Notamacropus eugenii: one gene and its partners. The protein of the gene in region 3 purifies or fractionates together with the protein of the main gene of each other region. This does not show direct contact. Links are inferred from orthologs where the notes say so. Each region holds a gene or a part of one and is shown on either strand. Other genes may lie near its edges. The genes, in order: AP3B2, RABL6 and AP3M1.

Region 1 (10,313 bases), about 15 Mb from region 3:
TCGCCAATGCAGGCCAGGACCTTCTCTTGTAAGTCTCAGAAAGTTGTCTAGACTCTAGAACACAGAGGACTCGCCCAAGGTGACACAGCCAAGCAGGTGTCAGAGGTGAAACTCGAATCCCATCTTTCTTACGTCACTACATAGCACTGCCTCTCACACTTAGAAGCTTAATCCGTTCAGGTTGTTCCCTCGCCTCCCTCCTCCCAGGATCATAGGATAGCGGATAACTTATTCTTCCCAAGGTCTCGCTCCCCTTTTCTCACCGGAATGAGTGAGGAAGCCCCTAGTTGGCAATGTTGGGCACCTCCTTCTATCCCTTTAAGAGGAAGGGACACCCTTTGGGGAGGGGGGTTTCCTTGTTCACGTGAGGATGACGTCGCAGCTCCTCGGTTGGGGCAGGGAGGAGCCAGGTGCCTGCTGCAGGATCCACACCCCTCCCCCCATTCTTCCTTCCCCCCTCCACTTCCTTTCCCGGAGCCTGGCCCTTTAAGAAGCTCAGCCTGATTCTGGATTTCTAAATCCCTGCTCCAGCATCTCTGGGCACACCTTGCCTCCTTCAGCCTCCTCCGGCCCGGCCTCTCTCCCCAGACCCTGACCACCATGTCGGCCGCTCCAGCCTACAGCGAGGACAAGAGCGGCTCCTCCAGCCTAGGGGAGCCCGAATACGGTCACGACCCGGCCAGCGGCGGCATCTTCTCCTCCGACTACAAGCGGTGAGGCGGGGCCCGGGAGGATGGGGTGGGGTAGGCTGGGATGCGGGCCCCCAGCTCCAGGAGGGACCCCTCCCTGGCCACGGGGCCCGGGATTTGTGGGGAGGGGGCGGGGCTACCAACCAAGTTCCCCTCTGGCAAATCGGGCCCGAGGGGGATGGCTTTGCACAAGCAGCTCTTGGAAGGAAGCAGTCATTCTTGCCCCTAGATTTGCTACCGAATTCTGCACCGTGCGAGGAGCCACTGAACCCTTCTTCACACCTGTCCTCACCCGGCATCCTTGTCTCAGCTTCATTAGAGGCCTCCTTCTCCTTGGTTGGGGGGAACCTAGATCTCGGCCCCAATCAGGCCCATGACCCGATTGGATCTGGGACCGGGAAAGGGGACAGGGAGGGCTGGAAGAGGTATAGGGTGAGACCCAGGGTCCAGACCAAGAAAAGATATTGCCACTATAGAGTGGGGCGCCAGACTCTGGGAGGATAAGCCTGGAGACAGGAGAGCGAAGAGATGTAGGGTCAGAGGAGGGTGATATGAAGTGTAGAAGGGTATAGGGCAAGGCTTTGTGGGAAGTAATATATAAGGCAACCTGGGCAAAGGAAACCTGAGGTCTGGTGGAACAGGCAGTGCCTTGGCAGAAAGGAACGTAGGATGGAGATTTGGGGAAAGAAGACACCCAGTGAGGAGGATAGTTAAAGACCTGATTAGAGGGAGGTAAATGAGGACCCTGGGGCAGGAGGAAACCTCGAGGCCTGCTGGGGGAGGAGGGAAGGGAACACTAGTGTCAGGGGTAGTCAGGTATCTAGGGTAACGTGATGGCAAAAGATCTGAGAGGCTGTGTGAAGACCCTGGACCAGACCAGGACAGGAGTGTACCTGGAGACCGTCGTGATGGTGTGAGGGTGAGGAGAGGGCATCTAGAAGTGGAGAGATTTGGGGAGAAACAGCGGAAGAGATTGGAGGTCTAGGAGCAGAACCTAATTTCATCCCTGGAGTAAAATACCTGAGTGCCAGTGCGGGCGAGAGTCCTAGCGACTAGCGAGGGCTAAATCTGTTTGGGGCCTATCTGCCTCGACCCCCACAGTGGCCACCCCCACCCCGAGGTCTTCGTGGTGTCCAGAGTCAGCCGCAGACCATGGACAGCTCTTCCCCCGCCCCCCTGCACTCAAGCTCCACCCTACAGCTGTTGTGGCCAGTGACGTAGGGGGCGTGGAGAGAGCGGGGTAGCTTGGGGGTGATGAGGTTTTTGAAGTGCCTGCTGTAGCTGCGACCTACTTTTTATCCTCCCTGGACATTGTGTGCGGCCCGGCCTTGCACTGGGTGACTTACCTATCCCTCTGACCCAGGCTTACTGTCGTGAGCTGGGACTTACTCTGTCAAGGTTCATACGGAGGTGCCGCTGATGAGAAGGACCACCGTTCTTCTCCCCGGAGCTCGTCATCTTCCCCACCGTATGTGGGGCAGGGCCTAAAATGAGGCTGGTTCTGAAGCGTTGGGATTTCTAGATGACTCCTCTCTCTAGGCGACTCTGGGAACCCACACTCAAACTCCTTCCCAGATGCCTTCTTTGCCCTTCATAGTCTATGCGCCCCCTTCCCAGTTATTCCTTTCCCCAAACCTTAAGTAAAATTCCCTCCAGGGTGCTCCCTACTTAATCCCAAATTCAAGTGCCGCCTCGCCCCCGCAGCCTCCATGGAGGTTCCGTACCCCGGGAAACATCCTTTTTGCTTCTAGGATCGGAGTCTAAGTAGTACAATGTTCCTGTAGAGTTGGGGGAGGGAACAGTGAAGGGATGTTAACAAACCCCAGTAAATGTCAAAAGTATTAGGCTCTCATCTACTGTGGAAATCTCCATTCCCAGGACCCAGAAGGCTCATATATGTCATATTCCTTGCTTCTCTGGCCACCCCACACCTCCATCTTGTCCATGCCTCTGATTCGGTCAGTCAATAAGCATTTATTAATTGCCTACTATGTGCCAAACACATAAATTCTACAAAGAAAGATGAAGACAGTCCCTGCACTCAAGAAGCTCATAGATTAGACTGGGGGAGAAAACATTCTGCTATGTACAAACAAGCTATGTAGAGAATATATTAGAAATAATCAAGAGAAGAAAAATACTAGAATTAAGGAGGTCAGGAAATCCTTCCTGCAGAAGGTGCTATCTTGGTTGGGACTTAAACTGGAAGCCAAGGAAACCAGGAGACAGGAAGGAGGGAGACCATTTAAAGTAAGGGTGACAGCCAGTAGACATTCCCAGAGTCAGGAGATGTAGTATCTTGTTCTAGGAACAGGAAAGAAACCAATGTCAATGGATTGAAAATACAAGGGGAAGGTGGGGTAGTAGGAAGGAGTAAAGAGTAAGAAGACTGGAAAGGTGGGAAAGGGGGAGGGCTAGATGTGGAAAGGCTTTGAATGCTAAACAGAGGATTTTAAATTTGATCCAAGAGGGGAAAGGAGCCATTACTGTTTACTGAGCAGGTAATAAGGTCAGATGGGGCACTTAGGTGATACAGTGGATAGCGTGCTGTGTGTGAAGTCAGGAAGACTCTTATTCCTGATTTCAAATTTGGCCTCGGACACTTCCTAGCTGTATGACCCTGAACAAATTACTTACCCCTGTTTGCCTCAGCTTCCTCATCTGTAAAATGAGGTGGAGAAGGAAATGGCAAACCCCTTCAGTATCTTTGCCAAGAAAACCCCAAATGGGGATGTAGAGTGTCAGAGACAACTGAACAACAACAATAAGGTCAGACCTTAAATATAAGAAAAATTTAACTCACCTCAACAGTAGAATAGTCTAGAGTGGGGAGAGACTTGTGGCTGGGAGACCAACCCAGCAAGCTATTGCAAATAGTCCAGGTTTGAAGGGAGTCAGAGGAAATATGGGAATGTATTCTGTCCTTTACAAAGCTAGGATCAACAGCACTTGGCAAAAGATCGGCTGTGGGGAGAGGGAGGGGGAAGCAAAGAGGAAGGGCGGTGAGCCTGGGTGATTGGGAGGATGGTGGTAACCTCAGCAGTCATGGGGAAGTTAGGAAGAATGTTTCCTTCATAACTCCTCCCAATGAAACTGTTTCTTATCAGAACTCCTATCTACCTCATAGCCCAAGTTGGGAAATTAATTGTCTTACCTGTATGATTCCTAAAATCATTTTAGTGTCCTAGGTTACCTACCTCACAGGTTGTTATAAGGCAAGCACTTTATAAATGTGAGCTATTATCATCATTATTGTTATAATTTTTTTTTACCTCAGTAGTGGTCTCTCTCCACTGCCATCTCCCCCTTAGATTAAGGTGAGGTTATTTTACTCTGCAGAGCAGGAGCAGAGTATTTTCTGCTCATTTATCTCCCAGACCTTGAAACAGTCAATTGAGCTTTCTGAGGGTTCTACTGTCCATGACAGCAGGAGACAGACAGGCAGATGTCACTTAACACACATGAGGAAAGTTACAGACTAACATCGAATTTCTGAACTCTCAGGATGCTGGAATTAAACCTGCCCTTTGGATTGTAAATGAAACATAGTCCTTCCTGGGATCCCTGGTCCCCTCTGGAGCAATCACAGGGAGATTTCTGCTCCCATCCTCCACCTCTGTTTTCCTGTGGTTAGTGCTCACAGTCTAATGCCCCTGCCTTCTCCTTTGCACTGAGCCCCTCTGGGGTCAGAGAAAAGGACTAGATGATAATGTTAGATCCTTAGTCTGAAATTAGACTCATTTGTAATTCAGAGAGAAATCTAAACTCAATAACTCCTCTCAGGAATCTTGCTCACTCACAAAAGAAGGCCAGTGAAGGCCATGGAAAGAGCACTGGGCTTGGGATTCAAGAGACCAGGGTTCTAGTCCAGAGTCCTGACACTAACTAGATGTGTGACTTCATGTTGGTAAAGCTTTCTAGGTGTCATCTGTAAAATGAGATAACAGGAGTTCTTAACGTGAAGTCCACAAATTCCAGGGAATCTGTGTACTGAATAGGAAAAAAATACATTTTTATTTTCATTAACCTCTAATTGCAATTTAGCATTTTCTTTAATTATAGATTTAGGAAAAATATTCTGAGAAGGGTACACAAAAAGAAGGTTAAGAACTCCTCATCTAAAATCTCTTCAGATCTACAATTTTATGACTCACTACCTTCCTCATGGGTCATCTACTCTCACACGTCGCCATACTCTGTTCCTCAGAATTCCTATCAATATCTCTACCCCAATCTTGCTATATCCCATCTTGATTTCTTCATCCCTCATTACCATCCCCCACTCCTTCTGTCCTTCTTCTTATATCCCCTTTCTTAAATCTGCTCACATCTCCCTCCCTATTTCTCCCCCTCCCCAATCCCCCCATAACCTCATAAATTGTTTGGGGCTTTTTGGAGGGTACTTTAGTTACTAAATAATAGCCACATTCCTTGTCCCCCCACCACCCATAAATCTTCCCTCTCAGTCTCAAAGAAGAAAAGGAGAAATTGGAGCTGACCCCTGCTGCCCTCTCCTCCCTCCCCTTCCACAGCTTTACTACCCAGACTCCCTCCAGCTGTCCCATAGCAGCATCACATTTCTGAGTTTCCGTGGAGCCTGGGCGGGTGGAGTATCAGTGAGGACTCACTGAAGCAAGGACTGAGTCACAGATCAGCTGGGGAGAAGAGAGGAGGGGAGAGAAGAAGGAGGCGGACTCTGTCTGCCTTGGGGGGAAACCTGGTGTCTGGGACCAGATTTAGGGGTCTCCAGGGAATCTTGGTATCTGAGGTACGAAGCCCGATGACGCCAATGCAGCGGTTCCTGCAGCTCCCAGGGACTATGGTGAAGCCACCGGGGAACAGGGTGGGTGAGGAGGCAACCAGCCCTGTTCTTACCCCTGAGGGGGCCACCCCAGCCTGGTACCAAGCCCTGCAACCAGATGAGCTACGACAGCTCCAGACCTCTGAACAGGATGTGTCCCCAGAAGGTGGCTCTGATGGGACCAGCCACAGCCAGCCTTTACGGTATGGAGGGGGGGCACTCTAGGGGACTTCCATAAACCCCAGGAGATCGCAGGGAGTATTTTTTCAGGCTCTAAGTCCCTGGAGCTGAACTGATCTCACTCTCAAGGGGAATCTGGCTAGGATGTGTAAAGGGAGGAGAGAAGTGTTAGTTTGGGTGTGGAGGGGATGGGGAGAGAGATCCAAAGGGAAAAGATGTCTAGGTTCTATTAGAGACGTAGAATACACAGAGGGGGGTCTAGGTATGTATATTTGTGCATGTAGAGAGGGGGGCAATTCCATATTTGAGGAGGATATAGGTTTGAACAGAGTATATTTGTGAAAAGAATTTTGAGATAGGAGATAGGGTTGTTCCTGATGACCTTTGTGGCTCCCTCATTTGTTGGAGCCAGGATAAATATTGAGGGTGGCTGGTGAAAGAAAGCTTGTTGCAGGCAAAAGTACTAAGTTCTGGGGGTATCTTTCAGGGGAGGATCTAAAAAAATTCACAGAGAACCTTCTCCAACTTACATGATTGAACAGGAGAGCAGATGCATGGAAAGGCTATATAAGATGAGAGTATTTCCCTTGCCATAGAGAGCAGAGAAGGAGTCTTAGGGAGTTGGGCCTTAATTTCCCCTTAATGACCCTGCATTCACTGATATCTCTCTGGTAGACTCTATCTATCTTCTAGAAAAGGGACTGCTGATCTCTCTTCCCCCTGACTAGGATGGGGTAAGAAGTCAGGAGCTAGAGAGCCAGGGATCAATACAGGGTTAGACTGAATTGTAAAGTGATCCTTCTATAGGAGATTAATATTTCATGGCCCTAAGGGTATCACTGATTCCATCTCTCCCTCCTACATGACAGCCCACAGTAGGCAGCAACAGGAGGGAGGGGGAAAGAATGGGAAGATGTATTAGGGGCTGCCAGATGGCCCTCCATCCCTCTGATAACTGTGTCTATTGGAGAGGGTGAGGCAAAGGGAATCTGTGCACCTACTTCAACACAACCCAAACCCCACAAATACTTATTAATATTCTACTATATACAAGGAACTGTGCTAAATTCTGGGGTCACAAAAACAAAGGTCCATGTCCTTAATCAACAAGCATTTATTAAGTGCCTATTGTGTTCCAGGTACTGATCTGTGCCTTGGGGATACAGAGAAAGGCAAAAAACAGTTCCTGCTCTCAAGGAGCACAGTCTAATGTGTGCATGGGGGAGGATGGCAAAATGTGAGCAACTATGTACATACAAAATATATACGGAATAAATTGGAGATTATCCACAAAGGGAAGGCACCAGCATTAATAGGGCTCAGGAAAAACTTCTTGTAGAAAATGAGATTTTAGGTGGGACTTGAAGAAAGTCATAGAAGCCTTGTGATGTCATGTCATTGTGGTAAGAAACTACTAATAATGAGGAGATTCAGAAAGATTTCCACTAGAGGGCTGAAAAGGAATTGAGCCTTGAAGGAAGCTTGGACTTTAAGAGGGAGGGATAAAGAGAGAGTGAATTCCAGACATGCAAAGGAGCTAGGAGATGCAATATTGAGTTGAGGAATAGTAAACAGGCGGCAAAGTAGGGTATGTGAAAATGGAGTCATGTAAAATATAAGCCAGGAAAGGTAGCCTGGCAACTGATTACGAAGGGCTCTAAATGCCAAACTGAGGAATCTGACTTTTATCCCACAGGTAATAGGGGGCCACTTACAGTTTTCTGAGCAGGAGAGGAGCATGGTCAGATCTTGCTTTAGGAGGATTGTTTTGACAACTCTATGGAGAATAGATTAGTAAAAAGAGAGGTTCATAACTGGGAACACGATTAGGAGGTTGTCTTTGGTCATACATCTAATAAATGTCTGAAGGGTGAGCATCAATCAGTGATGTACTGTGTACAAGGCATTATGCAAGGTGTTTGGTATACAAAGACAAAAATTAAAATCTGCTCTTAAGGAGCTTAGGGTTTATCATTAAGTTAAATGACTTCTCTGAGGTCACACAGGTTCCAAAGCCAGTGATCTTTTTACTGCCCCACCCCACCAGGTAGCCATCACCCTTCTCGGAGCAGACTGCCAATGTTTGGAGAAAATGATTTTTGGCAGTAAATCAGCCCCAAGAAAGTTCTCCTTTGATAGTTATCATGGCATAGAAGTGGCCTAGACTCTCCCAGGCTGAACTGGTAGAGCAGGTGCCCTGACAGGCCTTCTGGTGTTCACCCTACAGCAAAATGTGTACCTGGAATGTGAAGACCACCTGAGCTAAATTCAGAGAAGCTTCTCCTCAGGATGACTTCCAGAGAATGACATTTTTTTCAGTTCCCCAACAATCTTAGATTATCAAGCTAATCCAGATGGATCTCAAACAGCATCTGAAAAAGAAAAACTCAAACCAATAAAATCACTGCTCTTTGAGGCTTTGTAGTAAGAATTGAATGGATTGGGGTTGTTGGCCTCCCTGATCTGGGCTCCAAATGTCTTAAATTTGATAAGTCTTAAGATTAGGTCTCCTTCACCAGCATGACAAAACAAACTGAGATTGACTGGCAATCACACAGATTTGCAGGGACAAGGCAGGTAGGTGATCCAGTTATCATAGATTTTAGAAGGAAGAAGTCCAAACAAGCAGGTACCTGGTACCAAGAAGTTCCATGGAGGGAGATGGAGCCAAGATGATGGAGTAAAGGCAAAAAGTCCAGTGTCAGGAAAAAGGAGACCTGGGTATAGGGACTGGGATTTAGGGGGAGACTTTCAGTTCCTGAAATAATTTTAAGTTCAACAATATATTTGCTGTATTTGACTACTTTAATTTGTTAGAAGAGAGGATTCAGGGGAGGGGTAGGAGTATGCCATTGGGAAGTAACTGATTTTTTTTCCTGCTTTTTATAATAATGTTAATAATTCTTTTTCAATTTTATTTATTTACTTTCAGTTTTCAACATCCATTTCTACAAGATTTTGAGTTCCAAATTTTCTCCCCATTTCTCTCCTCTGCCCACCTCAAGACAGCATGCATTCTGATTACCCCTAGTGATATTTTTTAAAAAAAAAAACATCAATGTAACATTAAAAAAAAAGAATTATAGGGCTGAGGTAAGACCTTTGTCCCAGGGAAACTGAATAAATTTAGTGCAGGGGCTCACTAGAAAAGACAGGGACTCAGTTATGCAATGTTAGATAGGATTAGTCACCCATAAAAGAAAAACAAAACAAGTAACTGCTTATAATTATCGGGAAGCTAGAAATTCTAAGAGGGAGAGGTAAGGAGGGGTACATTTCAGACATGCAAGAGAGCTAGGAGATGGTATTGATTTGGGGAATGTTAGGTAGGCTGGTTTGTATGTCACACACATACAAGAAAAAAACAAGTAAAGAATGTTATATAATTATAGTGGTTTTTGTTGGTCTAGAGAAGAGAGGGAGAAATGACTCTCTCTCCTTTGTTTGAAGAGGTGGGGGACTATGGGTACGGATTATTGTATGTGCTGACAGATGCGTTTATTTTATCAATTGAGTTTGCTCAAAAGTTTTTGTTGTTTTTGATTTTGTTCATTTGGTAGAGGGGGAGAGTGCACATTCAGAAATGATTGTTATGTAAAAACAAAAGACATTTTTATACAATTTTAAAGATTAAGAACTTAGTTATTGGATGTGGGGTACAAATTTCAGAACATAGACCAGTAATGAAGTGACTGTATACTAATCCCTAAACTTAGTAGTTTAGGGTCCCTTCCACCCCATCTAATAGCAGAATTAATTCCAGAGTCTACAGTAGGAATGAAAATGATTATTGTTCCTTCATGGTCCACCAAATCAAGACTTCTCTTGCTTCTTACAACTTATTTATTGAATGTCTACTATGTGCAAGACACTGGAAATTCAAAGACAAAAGTGAAATAGTTCTAGCTGTCAAAGAGCTGAGTGTTTCCACATACATAATTAAGCAAATAGTAAATATATAACAAATAATATGAAGTAATTTTAAAATGGAGTGTCAACACTTAAAGGAGTCAGCAAAAACTTTGTATAGAAGATGGCCTCATAACTCTGTCTGTGTCTCAAAGGATGCTGGGACTCTTAGATGTAGAGATGAAAAGGTAGTATGTTCTAGGCCTGGAGGACAATGGGTACCTTAAATGTCATATATATGTACCTGATTCCATCTCCCCTGAGGGAACTTCCCTGGCCACCATTTACACCAATACAGACCTTTGTAAGAGGAATAATGGATATAGATGAGGATACTGAGGATAGGGTGATGCTATTTGGATTGCATAGTGCTCAATTCATCTTCCCACATTTTATGAATGGTTTGCCATTTTGAGTTGATGTCAGTCAACTTGTGGGATATCAAAGCCTATTTTCTGGATAATAGGTGACATGTTATTTATGTATAGTTTTGGAAAGACTTAGCAATTGATAGAACTAAAGATATTCAATATGGAAAAGACTCAGTTGGATGAGCACGCATCTTTGGGTATTTAAAGGGATTTTAGGTGGAAAGGAGATTCATTTTATTTTGCTTGGTTCCAAAGGGCACAGAGATGCTTACTCGATGAAAGTAACACAAAGGTAGATTTTAGCTTAACTTTAAGGAAACTTTTCCTAACAATTAGAGCTATTCAAGAATGAAATTGAGCTCC
Region 2 (9,985 bases), about 260 Mb from region 3:
CTGATTTCAAATACAGCTTCCGACATATAAAATTCAGACATCTGGGCTTACATGTCTTAAAGGCAGGAGGAGGTGTAAGATCAGAGGTCAACAGTTTTGTGCAGAGTAGATCTGAAAACCATCAGCATAGAGATAGTAATTAAATTCATGGGAAGGAGATGAGCTCACCCAAGTGAAGTAGTATAGAGAGAGAAGAGAAGAGGGCCCAGGACAGAACCCTAAACTACAAAAAAATGTCAATAAAAGCTGCCTCACTTTCTCTCTTCCCACTCTCTTAACCCATCCGTTAGTCTAGCTTTCCACTTATCATTCTACCAAAACTCCTATCAGGTAGCAACTGAACCAGATGATTTCTAAGGTGTCTGTAAGTTTTGAGACCTCATGAAGTAACAGATATTCTTCCTCTTTTTCTCCTTAACAAGTAAATTCGTAGTTCTCAGCCCACTCAGAATCAGTGGGCGACCTCCACGGAAAAACACACATTTCTGAGAGGGAACAGATTCAAGAATGATGCTCCAAATTTCCAAGAGATTAAAGAGTCATTTAAAAATATTTTTTAAAACACAGTGTCATATTAATGGTTGGTTACAGCTTAAAGGAAAATCAGGGGCTTAAACACAGATCCCACTAACTTATACGAACTATTTGCTAAGGTAGTTATTTGACTTCATTCCTCTACCTTGATGAATCTGAACATTTAGTGAGAGAAACAAATGAAAATAAATTACAGCTACAATATGGCCAGATTGAACTTTGTTTTTAAATTTGACAAAGCTTTTCTGTTCATCTTCTAAATATTCTATCCTACCACCAAGGCAAATTATTATGAAAACTGAAAGCTTTGTTTGAAACAGGCCTAGGAACCCCCTTCCAAAAATTTTTTTTACTAAAAGTGGAATGAAAAGAAACACTGTCAAAATACAACATAAAAGTTTTGAAATGTTGCCAATGTTTGTTGTCTTGATTTGCAATATAGCAAAATCAAATGTCAAATGAGAAAATTTACCTGAGGACAGAACAATGCCTAGGAGCCGTGGAGTTAATTTATATTATTTGAGTATGATGAAAATCTTAAATTCTCACTTTATTGTCTTCAAATGATCATTTCGTTCACAATGTGTAACAGATTATAAACAGTAACAGTATCCCTGTTTTCTGGAGTTTCACTAAACATAGCCCCACAGAATTGCTTCTTAAAAACAACAACATAAAAAAATTAAAGGAAGAATGAAAGGCACCACAGTCAGAGGCCCTGGGTTCAAATTCTGATGCACAACCTTTGAGACCTTGAGCAAGTCATCTCACCTCCTTGGGCCTGTTTGCTCATTCTGTAAAATGAGAAGGTTGTCCTCTAATTCCACTGAGGTCCTTTCTATCTATGATCTTAAAATTTTGTCAAAATTATTTTTTTCAAAATCCACACTTGAAAGTTAAGACTACAAAGAACATGCACATGACTCAATAATACTATAAATTATTATATAAGATGGTGCATTAATTTAAAATCACATTCATTATAAGTTAGTCTACTCTCTGGGAAGAATTCTAGAATTAAGTTCACCGTCAGAGTGACAGAACAAGAGGCTACTTTTTCAAATTACATAGTAATTTCTCAGGCAAAATATAGCCAATGCTATCCATAATATTGTATCAAAAATCCCATAAAAAGTTTTGGTGAGCTTAAGGCGCTTAGCAAAACTGCTGCCATGGCCTTTTCATCAATATATCACATGCAGAACGCACATAATGAGCTATGTTCTATCCAACACTATTTAGGATATGTAAGGGCAGCAAGAATAGAGTCAGTGCTCATATACTGCGGACTTCACAACTTCTGTATTCTCATCCACCTTTCCAAAGAAAATGATTACTCTGAGAGGCACATCTGGTTTGTATAATTTCAATCTGGTGATAATCATACAATTGTACAGCACAGAATCCCCTAGCATGACCATACAATCAAGTTTAAATAAAAATAAGACTAGAAAGACTCAAAGTTCCTGGAGGGAAAGAGCTATACCTCACCTGTATCTTGCAAACTTCCTTAGCACCTATGACACACAGAGAATACGGATTTTGAACTGTAAGGTACTCATGTAATTTAACCTCCTCACTTTAAAGATGAGGCACTGGGAGATGAAATTTCTTGTGCAAGTACACAAAAGGTAATTAACAGTAAGGGCAGGAGTGTGAAGCCATGCCCTCTGACTCCAAATCCTGCAATTTTCCACTGTTACTATGCCGCCTTGGGCATTCAATGGATAGTCATATAAATGAGTAGTCCAATAAAAATTGCTACTATACTTTTTTTTTTGAGAAAAAGGGCAACACTTTAGTTTTTAATACATCATATCAGTAATAGCTGTTATTCTTGGTCCTGGTTACTTATATTTGTGATAGTATGTCAGATCATCTCAAAAATAATATTTTAAGACTAATACTTAAAAAACAAAAGAAAAATTGAATCTGGTCACATTATCTATAAATATCAAATTCTCAGAAATCTGGGGGTAGGGGAGCAGTGACAGGCACAGAACAATGAATGGGCCCAAAAGCCAGAACTAATTCAGTCTGACCACTACTTTACTTTTCTTTAAACTTAGCACCATCGTTTGAAACTCATCCTGAAGAATATTACCAATGAAGGCTAACCCTTATTTTCTGTATTCCCAGCACACACTATAGTGCCTGGCTTAAGTGGGTGCTTAATAAATGCTTGTTGAATTAAACTGAATTTCTCCTTTTCCTTACTTCAGGGCCTTAAGTGAGTTTCAAAAAAGGCAGGGGTGTGTGTGTGTGTGGGGGGGGGGGGAGCCTAGGAGAAAGAAATTAAATCTGCTAGGACTCCTAAAACTCCGTAATCAGTCACTCAACAAACATTCATTAAGCGCTGCCAGCAACCTGGCTAAACCTTGGGGATACAAATCATAAACCAATGGGAAGACAACATACAAGTAACTGTGCAAACTATGTACAATGTAAATTGGAAATAATCAACAGAAGGAAGTCACTAGAATTAAGAGAAATAATTGGGATTTTATCTGGGACTTGAAGGAAGCCAGGAGGTAGGGATGAGAGGGGAAAGCTTTCTACACTGAGGGACAGCCAGTGAAAAATGCCTGGGATCTGGAGACGAGTGTCTCGTCCAAGGAAGTAGCCAGGAGGCCAGTGTCACAGCGTGTCGGCCTTGTAGAGGAGGTCCTGGGCTCCAGTTCTGATTTCACCCCCTCGCTGAGGGTGTGACCTTGGGCAGGTCACGTCATCTTCTCCTCAGCCTGCAGCATACTCCTTCGGTCGAGAAGCTGAACTGGTTTAAATCCCAGGAGACTTGAACCGAATGGGTTCTTCCTGCTTCAAGTCCTAGGAAACCTGGGATCCGGATGAGCTCATCTATCTATCCTTCCGGTCCAACTCTAAGTCCCATGATCCTTCCAGCATTGACTTGGTGCGATCCTGTCTAGCATTCCTAACCCCCAAACCCCCAATCTAGCTTCCTGCCCCTCCCCTCCCACGGGGCAAAAAGATCCAAGGCAGGATGCCCAGTTTCCCCCCTGAAGGGGAAGCAGAGGGTCCCCGTTAGCTCCCGACCCTACGAGGTACCCAATTCCCGGGGCAGGGTCTCAGCACTGACGGCCAAGTGCCTCGGGGACCCCCGAGGCTGACGAGAGTAGTGGGGGGCGCAGGGGCTCCGGGGCGACCCTCCCCCGGCCTCACTTACTGTTGTACTGCACTCCTTTGGCGAACCTCCTCTGCAGCGCCTGGTTCATGGACTGCAGCCCCGCGGGGATGTTCTTGTCCCGGCCGGGAGCCTGGTCCGACCCCACTAGCTTTTTGAGGGCGGAAAACATCTTCTTGCCCTTCCCAGCTCCGCGCCTCCCCCCTACAGCGGTCCTGGAGGATCCAGAGGGCCCTCCGGCGGGCTCAGGCAGGGAGGGGCAAGCTCCGGGCGGGGGCGACCATGCCCGGGGAAGGGGGACGGAGGGCGAGGCTGAGGGGCGGCTAGGGGAGGCCTCTCCCCGTCCCCCTCCCCCTGGGCAGAGCCCCAGCTGGCTCCCTCCTCAAGGCCGGGGGCGGAGGAGGCGAGGCGGTCAGGCAGGACTCTAGCTCTCCGCAGCTCGGCTCGAGACGGTCGCGGGCTAGCCCGCCTCGGCTTTCTCCCTGGCCTTACGCCGGGTCTCTAGGTGCCCTCACAGGACGTGGCACAGCTTCCGTGGCCTTCCGCACCGCCACCTGCCGCTCTCCTGCGTCGCCATCTTGGGACAGCTCGGGCGGAGGGGGAGGGGGGCGCTGAGAAGGGGGCCTCGTTCAGCGTCGCCTCAGCTACGGGGGCCCGTGGGGGACACGGCGGTGGGGGCGGAGCTAGTGCGGGAAGGCGCGAAGTCCCCGCCCCCTTCGCCGCTCCTACGGAGCTGTCGGGGGCGGGGCGGAGAGAAGGGGTGGGGCAGAGTGAAATTTGAATTCTGCTCTGGAGTCGCTCTACCTACCCACTGTTTCCAGAGACACCCCCGCTTCTCCAGACACCCCACTCACCTCCTCCTCAAACTGATGATAATGATGGCTAGGTATCGGCCTTAAGGCTGTACAAAATGTCATCTCATTGGATCCTTGTGACAACCCTGGGAGGTGGGTGCTTTTATTTTTTTCATTTTACAGATGAGGAAACTGAGGCAGAGATTTAAAATGACTTACCCAAGGGTTGGGGGCAGGGGAAGCAATGGGTGTCTCCCTGGAAGGTAATAATGGCAGATACTCAGGGTTTAAACCAGGCACATCTAGAGCAGGCTGCACTCTGCACCCCCAAGACCCCATCTCTCACCTCCAGGTTACAGTGTGCCAGGAGGCCATAGTGTTTCATGATGTTTAATTATATAAGAGTTGCTGTATTTGCATCTGGAGAATAAGTGTTAATAAGATGGCCTTTCACGGTTGTGACCAGTTTTGGATTTTTAAAAGCACTGAATGTTCTGCTGAGGACCATCCATCCACCCACTCCCTTATATTCAGTTGTGGTCCTAGGTTATTGTCTGTTCAACGTATAGTTCTGGACGGATGAATTAAATAGGCTGCCTATCTGTGACCAGACACAGCATAGTGTAGTGGAAGAAAGTTGGATTTAGAACCAAGATGACCTGGTTTCCAATATTAGCTCTTATACTCACTCATTTACAATGTAACTGGTAGTCAAATCATTTAAGCTCTTTGGACCTTAGTCTGCTGATCTATGAAATGGGGTTGGGGGGAAGTGGATGTTTGAATTAAATGATCTCATAGGTTTATAGATTTAAAGACAGAAGGGAGATGATCTCTAAATCTATAAGCCTACGTGTAATTCTAGATTTAGATTTAGAATTGGAAGGACCCTGAGAAGTTGAGATACGGAAAAAAGGTTCAGAAAATTTAAGTGACTTGCCCAAAGCAGGCAGTAAGTGGCAGAGTCCGAATTCAAACTCAAGTCATCTGATTCCAAATGTCCTTTTCTGGTATCAGAGGCCCCCTCCTCACATGAAGGCACATTTTGAGGAGCACCACTTATCTGATTTGTTTCAGTGGAAGCTGGGAAATTTTGTACCTAGCATTTTCCCAGGTTTGGCCATCAGACTAACAAGGCTTCAAAAAATAGAGCAGCTTTTTTGATAAACGGCTCAGAAAAGACAAATTTGAGTTCACCAAGACAGACAGCCAGCTGGCACAGTCTATAGTGTACTACACTTGGAGTTAGGAAGACCTAAGTTCAAATCCTGTCAGACATTTACTTAGTTATGGGACTCCAAGACACTTAAATGCTACCCATTCATTTTACAGGCCTATTCTTCTCTACCCAGGGAGGACATTTACTTATGGGGACAGACTTGTTTTGGTACCAACTACGAAACCCAGATTGTCATCTGGGCAATACACATTCTTTATCCACTTAGATTTTCCTGATTTAGTAGGGTAATTTCTCTCTCAGTAGTTGTTGATCTCATTGAGGAGATCCCATAGCGTTCAGTGGCAGAGAAGGGGAAAAATTGTGGAACTCAAAATCTTATGAAAGTGAATGTTGAAAACTAAAAATAAAATAAAAAAGAGAATAGGTTCCTTTCAATATTTTACCCTTTATAAAGTATTCTCCTCATTCATCTTGGGGATGTGACCACTGCAAGATGTGTTATCCTCACTTATAAAGTACAACTAAGACTCAAATTTTATATTTGATAGGGAGCTATTGGAGTTTATGAGTTAGGGTGGGGTTGGGGGGTGAGGGGAGGGGAGAAGTTAACAGAGTCAGACCTGGGCTTTAGGAAGATGACTTTGACAGCTGAGTAGAAGATGGACAGCAGTGGGGAGAGACTTGAGTTAGGGAGTCAAGGAGATTAGGCTGGATGCTATTGCAATAGTCCAGGAGTAATGTAATGAGGTAGGCATTAAAGTGACTAGCTAAGGTCTCTGATAAGAAGTGGCAGAACAGGGACCTGAACACAAGCAGTCTAATTTCAATGCTTTCTTACTCCAAGAGGTAACATAACCCTCATATATAATAAAGGAGGAAACTATTAAGACCCAGAGACACTTGTCCAAGGTCACTCTCAAAACTCCCCCTACCTCTCAACCCAGTTAGTTGCAAGTCTGTTGATTCTACCTTTGTAAAAGCTCCCTAGCATGCCCCCTTTTCTCCTCTGACCCTGCCACCACCCTTGATGAGAGCCCCTATCATATTGCTCTGAGACTACAATAGCATTCCGGTGGGACTCGTTGCCTCAAGTCTCAACCCACTCCAGTCCATCCTCTACTCACCTGTCAAGATGATCATCGAAAAGCACAGGTTTGACCATGTGAATCCCTACCCCACCCCCACTCACTCCACTCAACAGATTCAATGGCTCCCTGTCAAATAGAAATTCTGATAAAGCTCCAGATCTTGTACTTGACTTCTGCAACCCTTTGTACCATGTCTCCATCCTACATTCCTAGTTCTTCTTATTCCTTATTCCCCTCTATATTCTCTATGATCCATTGATACTGACTTTCTTTAGCTTGCACAGGGTGCTCTATTTCCTCACTGGGCATTTTTTGCAGGCTCCCTCCCATGTCTGAAATGCTCTCCCTTCTTACCTTCATTTCCTGGTGGCCTTGGCTTCCTTCTAGCCTCAGCTAAAAATCTCATCTTCTACAGCAATGTCTCCTCATCCCCCTTAACTGTAATGCCTTCTCTCTGTTGATTATCTCCAATTTATCCTATACATACCCTGTCTGTACATAATTGCTTATATGTCGTCTCACCCATTAGCCTGTGAGCTCAAGGGCAAGGACTGTCTTTTGCTTTTTTTGTGTGTGTCTCTAGCATTTAGCACAGGGCCAGGCAGATGATGTTTGACAGATTGATAACAAATGAGTTAGTGGCAGAGCCAGACAGACATCCTAGGTGTCCCAATTCCCACATCCAACTCTCTTTTTGCTTTCCTGTACTGCTTTCAACCTTCCTTTCTGTTAAGTGGAGCTGACAGCAGGTATTAGGGGTTGCTACCTTCACTCTCCTATGGTGATGATCCCACTTAAGTCCCATCTTCCCCTACCAAGGAGCTGTTGCATGGCCATGAATGGCTTGTGCTATATTCAGTTCTGGAAAAAATTTTATTTGTGTAATAAACTGAGCATGAAAGGAGGCAGTCCATTGTGAGCTGGAAAGTTGGACATGCAGGGCCTTGTGGGGTTAAGGAAAGGATCAAGACTAAAGAAGGAACCATTATTTCTTCTTTGGTTTCTTGATATTTCTGAGTTTACTTTCAATCAGATTTTCACTTTGCTTCTTGATCTCGTCCCGAGAAGGAACGTAGCTATGTTCCACATCAGGAAACTGGAAGGATTCTGGAAAAAGTATAAGGCAAGAGGACAGTGGAGGAGCTTCTGGACCCCACTGACCAGGAGGCTATCTGTGGACTGTTACATTCCCAGGGGGGTGGAGAGTCACAGGATTTGGCTACCATTCTTATTTCAGGGGAATGACTTACTAGTAACTCCCAAATTCACTATGTCCCATCTCCCTTTCCTACCCACCAGGCCTTAAGCCTACCATTATCTACAGTTAAGTAGCAAATCAAGGAGGAAATACCTCATAACTAAACCCAAGCTGCATGTTATTTAAATAAATCCCTCTGAGATACCCATAGCACATGTTCCAGTCCTTTTCCTTATGCCCTATACAAGTGCAAATTGTTATTTCTTAATTAGATGATTAAGGGTGTGTGTTTGGAGTGGAAGTGTGGCAGAAAGACTCATCTCTGATAATTCAGAGACTAAGAAAAGGTTGCCCAGGTTCTCAGAACATAGTCCACCATCATGTGTGAGGCAAAGCTGATGGACGATGTGCCAATCCAATTCTATCTTGCCCCATATACTACCAGCCTCCCCCCCCCCCCCACTTTGGGAATGCAGCTCTGAATGTCTGGGAATGTTCAGTTGAAGAGCTATATGGGGTATCTAGTACTCTACAGACTTTCACCAGTCCCATCAGGGACAATCACAAACCTTAGCTACTGATTTTCCCTAAGTTAAAAGCTAGAACTTCTAATTCCTGCTTCTTATCCCCATTGCCTAAAGTTTGTCTGTGAGGTTGGGGGAGTGGGAGGGTGGACTTGATGAAGGCAGGATCAGCAGCCTCAGACATCAGGATGAATGGGTTTTTCTACAGTTTTATCACCTAAGCCACTGTAACTCACCTCTCCCATCATCATCACCATCTTCAAAAGTAATCTTCACGTTATGTGTTTCACTTAGCGTTGATTCCTCTAGGAAGTCTCTCACTTTCTGGGAGTACTAAAAAGCAGAGGTGTAATAAGATGGACCCAGGGGAAAGAAGCAGGGGTAAAAGGCCGGGAAAGGGGGTACATAGAAGAACTTTTCTGCCTCTGCCCTCCCTCATTTACCTCTTCAAATATCTCCACATAGTTCTTAGTTCTTTCTATCAGATAGAGTAGCTTCTTCTCACAGTATTGTAGTTTACTGTAGGCATCTTTGGTATCAGCAGGACCAGGCATTCCTTTCTGAAGACAAACAAATGTCTCATTTCCTCTCAATTTCCTCCCTTGAGCCCCTTTCTGCAGGGAGTTTCCTTAGGGTCAGAATTTCAGACTGGAGGGAATGTTGGGTGATGGGTCTTAGGGTCTTTTTATACTCATCTGGGGAGGACGAGGTAGAAGGTAGGAGGTACCACTTCCTCAGAAACTAGGAGCTAGGTAGAGTTTAGGGGACAGGTTTTTGGGGGACTGAACTCTTAACAGCATCAGAAGAAGGGGAGCTATCAAGGAAGACAGAACTGAACTGGAGAAGCTTCAGAAAACAGTAGAGGGAGGGGTGGCTGGATGAGACTTGATTCAAAAGATTAGATTAGGCCTTTTAAACCTAGGAAGATAAAGGCTGAAAAGGCATATAACTGAAAGCTATAAAATCATAGCAGAAATGAGAGGAGTCCTGGTTATTCACCAGAACTAGATTCAAGGTATTTCCCCAACCCCACCCTCAACTTTGAAACTCCATTTTTTGGGGGGGAGAGGGAAGCAATCGAGGTTAAGTGACTTGCCTAGGGTCATACAGTCAGTAAGTGTCTGAGGTCACATTTGAACTCAGGTCCTCCTGATTTCAGGGCCCCCCCCTTCTGATTACTAGACCTGTAATTTTATCAGTGTAGAAAATTCCCAAGGAAGAACTTTTTCTACTGATACAGGTCAGCATCTTGATCACAACTTATTTTTCTTGAGAGTTGCCTAGGAGCACTAAAGTGGCTTATTGAGAATCATGCAGCTGGCATGTTCCAGAGAAAGCCTTGGACCCAGGGCTTCTTGGCTCTGTGTCCATTGTGCAATGCCTCCCTCCCCTCCCCCCTACCTTGAAGCAGATCATTTTAAGACAAATTACAGGCTGTCCTGCTTCACCTACTGGAGAATAAATATATGAAACATTCTCCAAGAATCTCCTGGTGATTGGGCTGCTAGTATAAATAGGTTCCGTT
Region 3 (10,525 bases):
GTGGTTAAGCAGATAGCCCATGTCAGATTTTGCAAGTATAATTCCAACTAGAGAATGTATAAAAAGCCTAATGAACACCAGAGGTTATGTTCAAAACCACCTGACATCTGTAAGACACATTGCCATACACCTTAAAGTGAAATGGCCACAGTGAATTGGTTATTTTTCACTCGGTTGATTTTTCTTCTAGTCTACATAGCTAATGAAATATCTCTATGGAGAACTAGGCTCCTCACAGCCTACTCTGATCCCTTCTCGTGGTGTAGGAGTAAATCTGGGCTCTTGAGGGCTGTGATAACAAAGCACAAGCTCTGGCAGGTCCTACCAGGCTGGAAAGGTTTGGGGCCTAACAATGCACTATATGTCCATGTGAAGATGAACCTAGCTAAGTTTGGAGTGGATGACCTCTATAAGACCTACCAAGGTGATGAATCTTTTCATGTACAGAAACTTATGAAGATGATATATTAAGGAGTGAAAGTTTACAGTCTGTGTTGGTAAATGGGAGTAACCATATCACAGAAACAAGATTTTTGAAGTACTAAGTTATTGTCACTTAATGGAAATAGCAGGTCCTAAGCCTCAACTGTCTATAAAGGTGAAATCTAGCTTTTCAACTCATTCTTCCAGGCAGTTATCCCTCGCATTAAGTGACAGTGAATATCCCATTCCAGAAGGGAAAACGTTCAGGTTATCAACTTGTCTGATTTCCCCAAGCCTCTCTACTGATTCAGTCCTTAGCATGTTCCCCAGGGGCTTAATTTTCCAATGTTGTGTCTTATATTTTATAGTATCACAAATAGGAGCTCACATTTATGGTATTCTAGAGTTTAAAAACCAATTTTAGCCAATTTTCACAGTTTCTGTTATTAGTTGATAAGTTATGTGAACTTGATGGAGTATTTGCAATTTTTATCCTTGGAAATAATGCTGAACTTGGACTCTGTCCCTTACTAACTTTAAGATCTAGGAGAAGTCACCCAGATCCTATGGGGGAAAAATTTAATAGTGCACACTCATAAATTAGAAACTGTACAATAACCTTGTGGCAAAGGAGAGCTTATTCAATAAAGAGAGTAAACAAAATGACATGACATTATTGTGCTGTGAGATAAATATGAAGAATTTAGAGGTCTTTAAGAAGATTCAGATAAATAAGAGTTTAGAAAAAGCACACCTGAAGAAATATATACATTGACTATAACCATATGAATGAAAAAATGAGAACAAAACTCAAGTTAGCCACAAGAAACAATGCTGATACTATGTTAAAGCCTTCCTTTCTTTTCATAAATGGCAAATTATAAAGCTGTACAATTGTTCTTTTGCGTGTTTTGCTTAACGGTTTTTAGGTGTATGTATTTCTCTTTGTTCCTCTCTCTTCATTCTATTAAAATAAATCAATAACAAGATTTTTAAAATTCCTCCTGCAATGTTACTTAGCTCTTTTCTATCCGGACTGCCACCATGGTTAAGTTCAAGGCATTAGTTTCCCAAATAGTCTCCAAACCTCCCATCTCCCTACACGACTATAATAACATCCCTTCAATGACTTCCCAATGCCCACTGCACTGTGGGGTAGTAGGTAAAAACACTGGACTTGGAAGACTTGGGTCTGAATTTTATTTTTGACACTTACTAGTGTCTAGGTTTTAATATATTCTCCAGTAGGAATTATACTTGCAAAATCTTCTAACAGTGTCTTCTAATATGAAATACTCCTGTGATCTTACCTTTCCAATTTCTAGTCTGATCACTCCTCCAAACACAACTACTGGCACAACTTCATGCTTTCCCCTCTCTCCACTCAGGATAACCCCCCACCCTTGTTAGAATCCTACCCATACTTCAAAGGTTCCCTCTGAAATCACTTAATGGGATTGGTTCACATTGCTTACAGGACACCTAGCATGTCCTGCCTCACGCTACAAAAAATAGTACATTTTAAGCACTTTCATGCAGAACACTAATGCACACAATTGAGAAGATGTAAAGTTTTGATAAAGACAAAGCTTGGGTTTCAAGGCGTTTACAATCAAGGAGATAAAACAGTAACAGATATCTAGAACAGGCAATATAATACAGTAGAATCACTGGACTCAGATGTAGGAGAAACCAGGGTCCATATATTATTACCTTTGGCACTTTGACCCTGGGGCAATCACTTTACTTCTCTGTGCCTTAGTTTCCTCATTTGTAAACTGAGCATAATACTTTTAGATCTTTAGAGAAATGAAAATATGTGAAAATATTTTGTAAAATACGAAGTTAGCTATCATAATACATAATTACATAATAACTGTGTGTAATGTTTGAGAATAAAGCATTTCTTATGGAAAGGCTTTTAAAAGAAGGGTGGGATTTCAACTGGTGAAAAAAGTGGGGGAGAACTTTCCAAGTACTAGGAATAGCCTTGCGAGAGACAGCAAAAGTTAAGTTTCCACGGTAAGTTATTGTTAATTGATGAAGCCATTGAGAATAAGTTAGATAATAAGGCGGCCAGCAGACTGCAGGTGGACTCAACCAATCAAAAGACAGACAGTGGCAATCAGAAAATTAGGAAGCTTTGGATAAAGGAACCAAATCTACAGTTAGCTGGAACTAGTCAAGAAAAATGATGTAGAGTTACTGGGCTTGCTTAATGAACTTCATGCATATAAGCAGACACACCCTGCATAAAATTATCCCTCCATTTTCTGATCATGGGTCCTATGTTAAAGCATGTTTGGGGGGAATCACAGTAAGGGGGGGGGTTATGTAATGGGCATGTAGAGAAGATGGTGACCTAAAGGAGGACGACCAATCAAACTCCTGGTGGGAGAATCTGTCTTGAACTAAAGGTATATACCTCATGCATTCAGTGCTCCCTCCTCTTGAAATGAGGGTGGAGGTCCGCTTTGGCCAAAGTGTTCAATTCCTCTGAACTCTGCTGTAATAAAATTTCCTTGACACCTTATTGGTGTCAAGCATGTTTCTAACAGTCTGTACAAACGTACAGTTTTAAGAGTTCAAGTGTTTTTAGGGGTGTGACTCTATGTGTGGGAGCGAGTGAGCCTTTGGAGTGGGAGAGACTGAACTTTTTACTTCACAGGTATTTTTTTGAGCAGAAGAGTGAGTTCCGGCAGTCCTATTTTAGGTCCTGGGAAGGAGAAGGGAAAGATCTGAAGGCCACTATTACAATAGTTCGGGGCTTCACATCCATCCAAGGAAAGCTTACCTGTAAGAGCACCTGGACAGCTCCCCTAGGGCTGCCCTCCTCCCCACCACATCGGGAGCAGAGGCCCTCCATTCCTTTGCTCATCTGACGCCCCTCAGCCTGGGCACTCTGCCTCCGGACTGGGCTGCTCTGCTTGGAATCTAGCCTCTATCTTGCCAGACCCAGACCATGCTTCCCATCTCACCCAGCCAACCTCCAGGGTCTCAAGTCCTTCCTGGAGCTGGCATAGGTTCTGCTGGAGCATGGACAGCCCTTTCCACTCTCATGTCTACATTTCTCTTTTGTTCAATAATAATAATAAACAATTCCACACTGCTGCTGCTATGGTCAAGGGCATGACAAATCAACTAGACTGTCCGTGGGTCAAGCCTTTCTCCAAGGCTTACTTTGTGCCCGAACCTGCTTTCAAGTGTCGCGGAAGATAACGGTCTTCCACAGGTACGTGTATGCGCCGTGTGCTCCGATGCCAGCGGAGCTCCTGGAGGAGGGGCGAGTCACTTCGGCTTTGAGTCTTAGTGTCTCTGTCTGTGAAATGAGAAGACAGCCGGACACTTCTCTACCCCCCCACCTTGACAGTGAAACTAACTGTAAAAGACGGAAAAACGAACGTGTGAGTGTGTGTGTGACACGGTTTTGGGGACGCGCTGGGCAGCGCGAAGAGCCGGACCAGAAGTTACGGGAAGGAGGTCCATGAGGACCCTGGCCAGGGTACAAACACGAGCTCCGGGGCTCCCCCGGAGTCCCACAGACGCAGGGCCGCGAGGTGGCGCAGGGGAGAGAACGTCGGCCCCGGCCCGGAGTTCGGGTGATTCCGAGCAAGTCCAGGACCCTGCCCGTCTCCTCTCCGGTACAGTGAGGATTATAACGATGCCTCCCCCCGGGGTGGCTGGGCTTTGAAACACCGAGGTAAGCGATCGCTAGAATGCTGGCGGCGAGGGTAATAACCAGAACAGGCGTTGGTGCCGGTGTCCCCGGCATATAGCTGGCGCTTACTTAGCACTTGCAGGGTGGATCATTGAGGCACAGAGGTCGCAGGGACGCATCCCTTGCCCGGGCGGGCCGTAGGCCACGTCGAGGGGCCGGTGCTGGTCAGGAGGACCCGGTCGCCTCACCTGCCCCGGGGCGCGTCCCTTCCCCGGAGCGCCGGGTCCCTAGAAGCCGCCCCGCCCTTCCCCGGCGGCGCTGACGAGGGAGTGGGCGGGAGGAGCGCCGCCCCCGGCTCTGCGGACCCCTCCCCACCCCGCTTGACCCTGACCCCGACCGCCGCCCCGATGGCCCGCCTCACTTACCTCGAGGAGCCGGGCGGCCCGAGCTTAGCCCCGGACCCGTTCCGGAAGGAGGCCGCCGGCTCAGAGGCTGCGGCGGCGGCGGCGGCGGCGGCGGGGACCTTGCGGCCCGGGCTGTTTTGCTCACTGCCTGAGAGAGGGCTTCACCGCCGCCGCGCTCAGATCGCCTTCCGAAGGGAATACCTGAGCAGAGCAAAGGTCTCCAAGGGCCTAGAGAGCACTCCATCCCGAGGCAGAAGCTGCGGAGCTGTCGGTCGTATGACTCCCTGCGTTCAGGCGCCAGGGGCTGCCCGTTCGAAAGTTCCTGCCCCTCTCCCGCCAAGGCCCCGCTCGGGGGCGGGGCGAAGACAGCCCGGGAGGCCGCCTGACCTGGGGGCGGGGCGAGCTCTGGGGGCTGAGAGGGGAGGGGCTCACACTCGTGCGGCCCGAAGAGAGGGCACCCTGCGCCGGCCCTTGGGAAGGCCGGGGGAGGAGGGAGGAGAGGGGGCGGGGATTGGGTGTGCCCTCGGACGGGGGAGGGGCGCTTGTGGCCAGGGGCGCGAGAGTAGGGCAGAGAGCGGGAAGATGGCAGCGGCGGACGAGGAACCGCAGGCTAAAAAGCCGAAAGTGGAGGCGACGTCGCATTTGAGGTGAGCGCCGCTGGGCTGGGAGGGGGTGCACGTGGGGGCCGGGAAGAGCCGGGCCGCGGAGCCGCCCCGCGAGGCCCCCACCGGCTCGGAGCCAATCAGCGCGGCCGTGCGAGGGGAGGGGGGGCCAGGCCCGGCCCCACGTGGGCGCTTCGCGCTGCGTCCAGCCCCGGCCCGGCGCAGCGGAGCACTAGACCGGCCGGTCCTGGGGTCCTGGGGTCCTGGGCAAGGTATGCTGAAGGGCGAGAGGACGGAACGGGCATCGCCAGGTCGGCGTGTGTGCAGACCCCGGCCCGCGCTGGCGTGCCCAAAGGGAGAGGCGAGCCGCTGGAGCCTCTAGTTAAACATTTATCTCCGTCGTAATCGCGCTCCCTGTAAAATAATGTTACTTTTTCGTCCGCTCCTCAGTAATAAATGGAATGCTTGCATCCCAAAGCTTCTGGACTTTGAAATCCATAGGCACGCGATGACAGCGAGATTTGGAGCTGAAAACAGGCCCTTCCGACTGTTAAGAACTATCCCATTAAGGCCCGTGTGTGTGTGTGTGTGTATGTATGTATGTGTACGCAGACACACACGTGGATGACAAGAGACTGTATAGATGCCACCCCACCACATACCCTTCTCCACCCATTCTCTCTCAAGTAAGAAAAAGGCAGAACTGTGAACATGCAAACTTGTGGGCTAGAATCTGCTTCCAAGCCAAGAGGGGTGTTCTACTCCTGACTGCACCGGGACCTTGGCAAGTGTCTTAATTTTCCGGAGCTTCAGCATTCAGTAACCAGGATACAGGAATTCAGCCTGCTTCCTCAAGAGATAGGGTCAAACGAGATCCATGGGAAAGCTCTTGGAAACTGTAGGTGTTACAAATGTAGTTGTTGTTCAGTCGTGTCGGAATCTTTGGGACCCCTATTTGGGGTTTTCTTTGCCAAGATTCTGGAGTGGTTTTCCATTTCTTTCTCTAGCTCAGTTTTACAGATGAGCTAACTGAGGCTTACATCGACTTGCACAGGGTCACACAGCAAGTGAGTGTCTGAAGGCTGGATTTAAATTCAGGAAGATGAGTCTTCTTGACTCCAGACCAGGCACTCTATGCACTTGAGCCAAAGTGGAGGGGATAATGTTAAATGATTCATTTTTGCAGGCTTTGAGGGTGATTTTGAAAACTAAGCACCCGGCCCATAGGAGGTGCTTAATAAATATTCATTGATTGATTCAGTGTAGGGTCATTGGAAAAGAACACTGAACCTGGAATTATTCAAATCCCCCATATTGAATATGCACTGGGCAGTGGGCAACTCTTTCAACCTTTCTGGTCACAGTTTCCTCATCCACAAAATGAGGAGGAGTGGACTAGGTGACCTCCTATGGATCTTTCCACCTTTGAGGCCTTCTGACCTGTGCTTTTAGTGATATTTTTGATTACCTTAAAAGTGGGTTCTTAACATTTTGGTTGTTGTTGTTGTGAGCCTCTTTGGCAATCTGGTGAAACCTGTGGACTCCTCAGAATGATGTTTTTAAATAACTGAAAGCAAATGCTGAATTACAGTTGGAAGTTAGTGAAAATAAAAACTTAGGTTTTTTTCCCCCCATGGACCACTTTAGGTGGGGAGGTCTGTGGAACCCAGGTTAAGAACCCCTGCCTTAGGTGATTTCTTATGCCTAGTTTACACCCAGGAAGAAATTGCCACCATCCTGCAGTGTTTTTTAAAAAAGGATTTGGCCAAATACATATTCATAAATCTTATACATTCTAATTATATTAGGTTGTGGGTGGTCTGGTCTTTTTCATATTGTTCAGGGTAACTCTTCTACACTTGTAAAGCCTTTTTGCGTATGTGGCTAACCCTTATTTTTCAGTTCTCATCTCACATGCCTGGCAATGACACCAAATCCTTATGACAGTTACATATAAATCTACCAGACAAAGTTTACAAAGGCCATACCCTGGCTTCTGTGCTCAGCCCTTGCCATGCAAAAATAAGAAACAAACTTTGAACTTGATTGTCAAAGTGCAGAAAACAAATTTCCACCACCCTTGTGTTCTCACTGTGAAGGTAATAAAGAACTTTTTGTGTGGAAGTTCACCTTCAGCTTCCTTTTTTTTCAAATCCACACCAGCGTTTCATCTTGTGGAGTTTTTTGATGTCATTGTAGCGTGGGAGTTTGCAAATGGTGTCATATGCTCTTAGTGCCCTCTTTCCTCTGGATTATACTGCTCATTTCTGAAGGGCGACTTCTCTGTGGCTCCCTCCAAACTACCAGTGATCTCAGTATTCTTTTGACTCAGTGCCTTGGCACTGGCATGCTCTTTCCTCTCCACTTTGGCCTCCTGGCTTCCTACGAGATTCAGCAAAAATCTCACCTTCTGCAGGTGGCTTTTTCCATCTCTCCCCCAAACCACCTTGTACCTTCCCTCTGAGACTACCAGCTGTCACAAATCCATCTTAGATGTCCATGGTTGTTTAGAAGGTGAGCTCCTTGAGGGCAGACTTGTTCTTGTCTCTCTTTGTGTTTAGCATAGTGCTTAACCAATACTTTCTGACTGTTTATTGCCAAATAAAATGACCTCTTATTGGTCCTCATTTTTCTTGACCTCTCTGTAGTATATGACACTTCTGATTGACCACCTCCTCCTGCTGAAGATTGTTTCTTGTAGGTTTTTGTGACAGTGTCTCTCTTGGTTCTTCTGTCCTTATGATCCTTTCTTAGTCTCTTTTGCTTGGATTTTTATTATCCATGTCACACCCACTCTTCTGCTAGGTGGGGGGTGTAGGGAATTTCAGCCTCAAGTGAGACCCTTTGACTGAATCCAAACTTCACAGAACAAATCCCCTTAATAAAATGATTTGATCTGTAAAATTGGGACTCAGTTACAAGCACCCAAGGACCTAGAGGGCCACAGGTTCCCTACTCTTGCTCTAGGCTCTGTCTTTCCTTGACCTCTTCATTTTACTGGGACTGGTTAATGCTAATGTTAATCTCTTCCTTCTGTTGTTGATCTTCCATTTATCTTGTATGGATCTTGTTTCTACCTAGTTGTTTACATATAGCCTCTCCCATTAGACCTTGAACTCCTCAAGAACGGGAACTGGTTTTGGCCATTCCTTTGTATCTCTAGAGCTTAGCTGACCATAGTATGCACCTAAGTGCTAGTTGACAGACTTATCCACCTTCTCTTTTCTCTTATTTCTCTCTCATTTGGTGATCTTATCAGCTCCTCAATGATATGTTCCAAACTGGAACTAAATCTCTTTTCCTCTCACACACACCCCACTTCCAAACTTCACTATTACTGTCAAGGGCACCCTCATCTTCCCAGTCACTCAAGTTCCTGACCTCAGCGTCCCCCTTGACTTCCACTTCCACTTACCTTACCTATCTAGGCATTTGCCAGGTCTTGTAATTATTTTCTCTATGACATTTCAATAATTACAACACAGAGCTGCCAAAATGAATTTCCTAGGCATAGGTCTGACCTTGCCTGTCTTCTCCCTAACCCTTTCATAAATTCCAGTGGCTCCCTGCTACATATGTAAAGCCCTTTGACATTTGAAGCTCCTAACAACCAGGTTCCTCCTTACCTTTCCAGTCTTCTTCGTTCCTGCTTCCCTCCATATACTCTACAATCTAGTCATCCTGGTCTGCTTGCTGTTCTTGGAATGTGAAGCCCCATTTCCCATCCCCATGCCTTTGTACTGGTTGGCCACCAGGCCTAGGGTGCTCTCCTTTCCAAACTCCAATTCTTGGGATCCCTGATTTTCTATAATACTCAGCTAGAGAGCCACTTTCTCTTTTCTCCCTAGCTGCTAGTGCCATTTCCTCTAAGGATACCTAGCATCTCTGTTCTAAACTTGTATGTATTGATGTGTGTGTGTGTATGTGTGTGTGTGTGTTTTGTCTCCTCCATTAGAATATGAACTTGAGAGCAGGATTATTTTTGCTTTTGTTGGGGACAGAGAGGGAACAAGCATTTTTTAAGGAACTAGTATGTTGCAGGCACTGTTAAATGCTTTCAAAATGTCTCCTTTGCTTGTTACAGTAACATGGGAGGTAGGTGCTATTATTATCCCCATTTTGTAGTTGAGGAATTGGAGGCAGAAGTTAAGGGGTTTGTCCAAGGTCACACAGTGGATAAATATCTGAAACCACAATGGAACTCATATCTTTCTGACTTCAGGCCCAGCAGCTCAATCCGCTTCTTTGTATCCCTAGAGCTTGGCACAGTGATAGATGCAATAGTAAGCACCTAATAAAAGCTAGGTGGTGAAGTGGATAGAGTACCAGGTCTAGAGCCAGGAGCATCTGAGTTCAAATCCAACTTCAGATGCTTACTTGCCTGTGTGATCCTGGGCAAGTCACTTAACCCTGTTTGCCTCAGTTCCTTAGCTATAAAATGTGAAGGAAATGACAAACCACTCTAATATCTTTGCCAAGAAAACCCCAGGTTTTGTCAGTGAAGAGCGGGACATAACTCTTGAAAACAACTGAATAACAAAATAAAAGCTTGTTGATTGATTGTCAAGATGAAGATCTTCACCCTTTGCTTCCAAAGGTTTCACTACATCTTAACTTATTTCCCTTCCTTTATTGCCTGTTCTCCTTTCCACTTTGCTAAACTTAGTGTGTCATTGTCTGGTCATGTCTAGTCTACTCCTGCCTCCCTGGAGGCTCCCAGATTCCTCTTCTGCTTGAAATGATCTCCTTGATTCACCCTGCCAAATAAATCTTTCTTTAAACAGTCTCTTGAAATCCTACCTCTTCCCCAGGGCATTTCCCGTCTAATAATAAATAGCTGGTATGTGTGTATATGTCTATGTGACCCTAGGGATATCCCTTAACCTCTACGTGTCCCAACCAACTTTAATACTCTCAGTCGCAGAACAGTTTTTGAACTACTTTGGTAGAGGGAATTTCCTCATCAGGAGTTGACTATACTGGTGAAATCTTGTTCTAGTCACATGCATGTCCATGCAAATGTGTTTGCAAAGCACTTTGTGTCCACTCCTTTGGATCTCACAACCACTCCGTGAGGTAGGCACCCTAGTTTACAGAAGAGGAAATTGAAGATAAGAATGGTTAAGTGACTTGGCCAGGGTCACAGAGTTAAGTGGCAGAGGTGGCTTCTGCTCCCAGGTATCTCACCTGGCCAGTATAACACCCATTCTATTTTACTGTGCTGCCTTTAATGAAAAGACAGGAGTTTTGACTCTCTGTAAAATTTGCCCCTTCTAAATCTTCCTTGTGATTCAACACCCCACAATTTTTTCTTTGCTTCTATGTAATATTTTAAAACTTAATTTGAGTGTGTTTGTTTTTCAGTATCCTTTTATATGTCTTTCACTGTTCTGTGTCAAGTTCTATGCAGTTCATTTTCCACAACATGCCCCATAATT

Evidence for each region.
Region 1: the proteins of AP3M1 (region 3) and AP3B2 purify together in Homo sapiens (co-immunoprecipitation; 3 studies listed by BioGRID and IntAct, counting the BioPlex papers as one, with this or other methods). This does not show direct contact. The link is inferred for Notamacropus eugenii from reciprocal best matches to the Homo sapiens genes AP3M1 and AP3B2.
Region 2: the proteins of AP3M1 (region 3) and RABL6 purify together in Homo sapiens (co-immunoprecipitation; 3 studies listed by BioGRID and IntAct, counting the BioPlex papers as one, with this or other methods). This does not show direct contact. The link is inferred for Notamacropus eugenii from reciprocal best matches to the Homo sapiens genes AP3M1 and RABL6.

The regions. Positions count from the first base shown.
Region 1 is NC_092872.1:221,333,868-221,344,180, reverse strand, and holds the start of AP3B2 (AP-3 complex subunit beta-2), read left to right. Parts: upstream 1-5,431; 5' UTR 5,432-5,469; coding exon 5,470-5,693; intron 5,694-10,313.
Region 2 is NC_092872.1:492,640,810-492,650,794, reverse strand, and holds the start of RABL6 (rab-like protein 6), read right to left. Parts: upstream 4,265-9,985; 5' UTR 3,849-4,264; coding exon 3,719-3,848; intron 1-3,718. Other genes in the region: CCDC183 (coiled-coil domain-containing protein 183), read right to left, coding at 7,724-7,845, 8,697-8,793, 8,904-9,020. UniProt on the Homo sapiens protein: May enhance cellular proliferation. May reduce growth inhibitory activity of CDKN2A.
Region 3 is NC_092872.1:236,272,739-236,283,263, reverse strand, and holds the start of AP3M1 (AP-3 complex subunit mu-1), read right to left. Parts: upstream 4,608-10,525; 5' UTR 4,507-4,607; intron 4,124-4,506; exon of another isoform or gene 4,021-4,123; intron 1-4,020. UniProt on the Homo sapiens protein: Part of the AP-3 complex, an adaptor-related complex which is not clathrin-associated. The complex is associated with the Golgi region as well as more peripheral structures.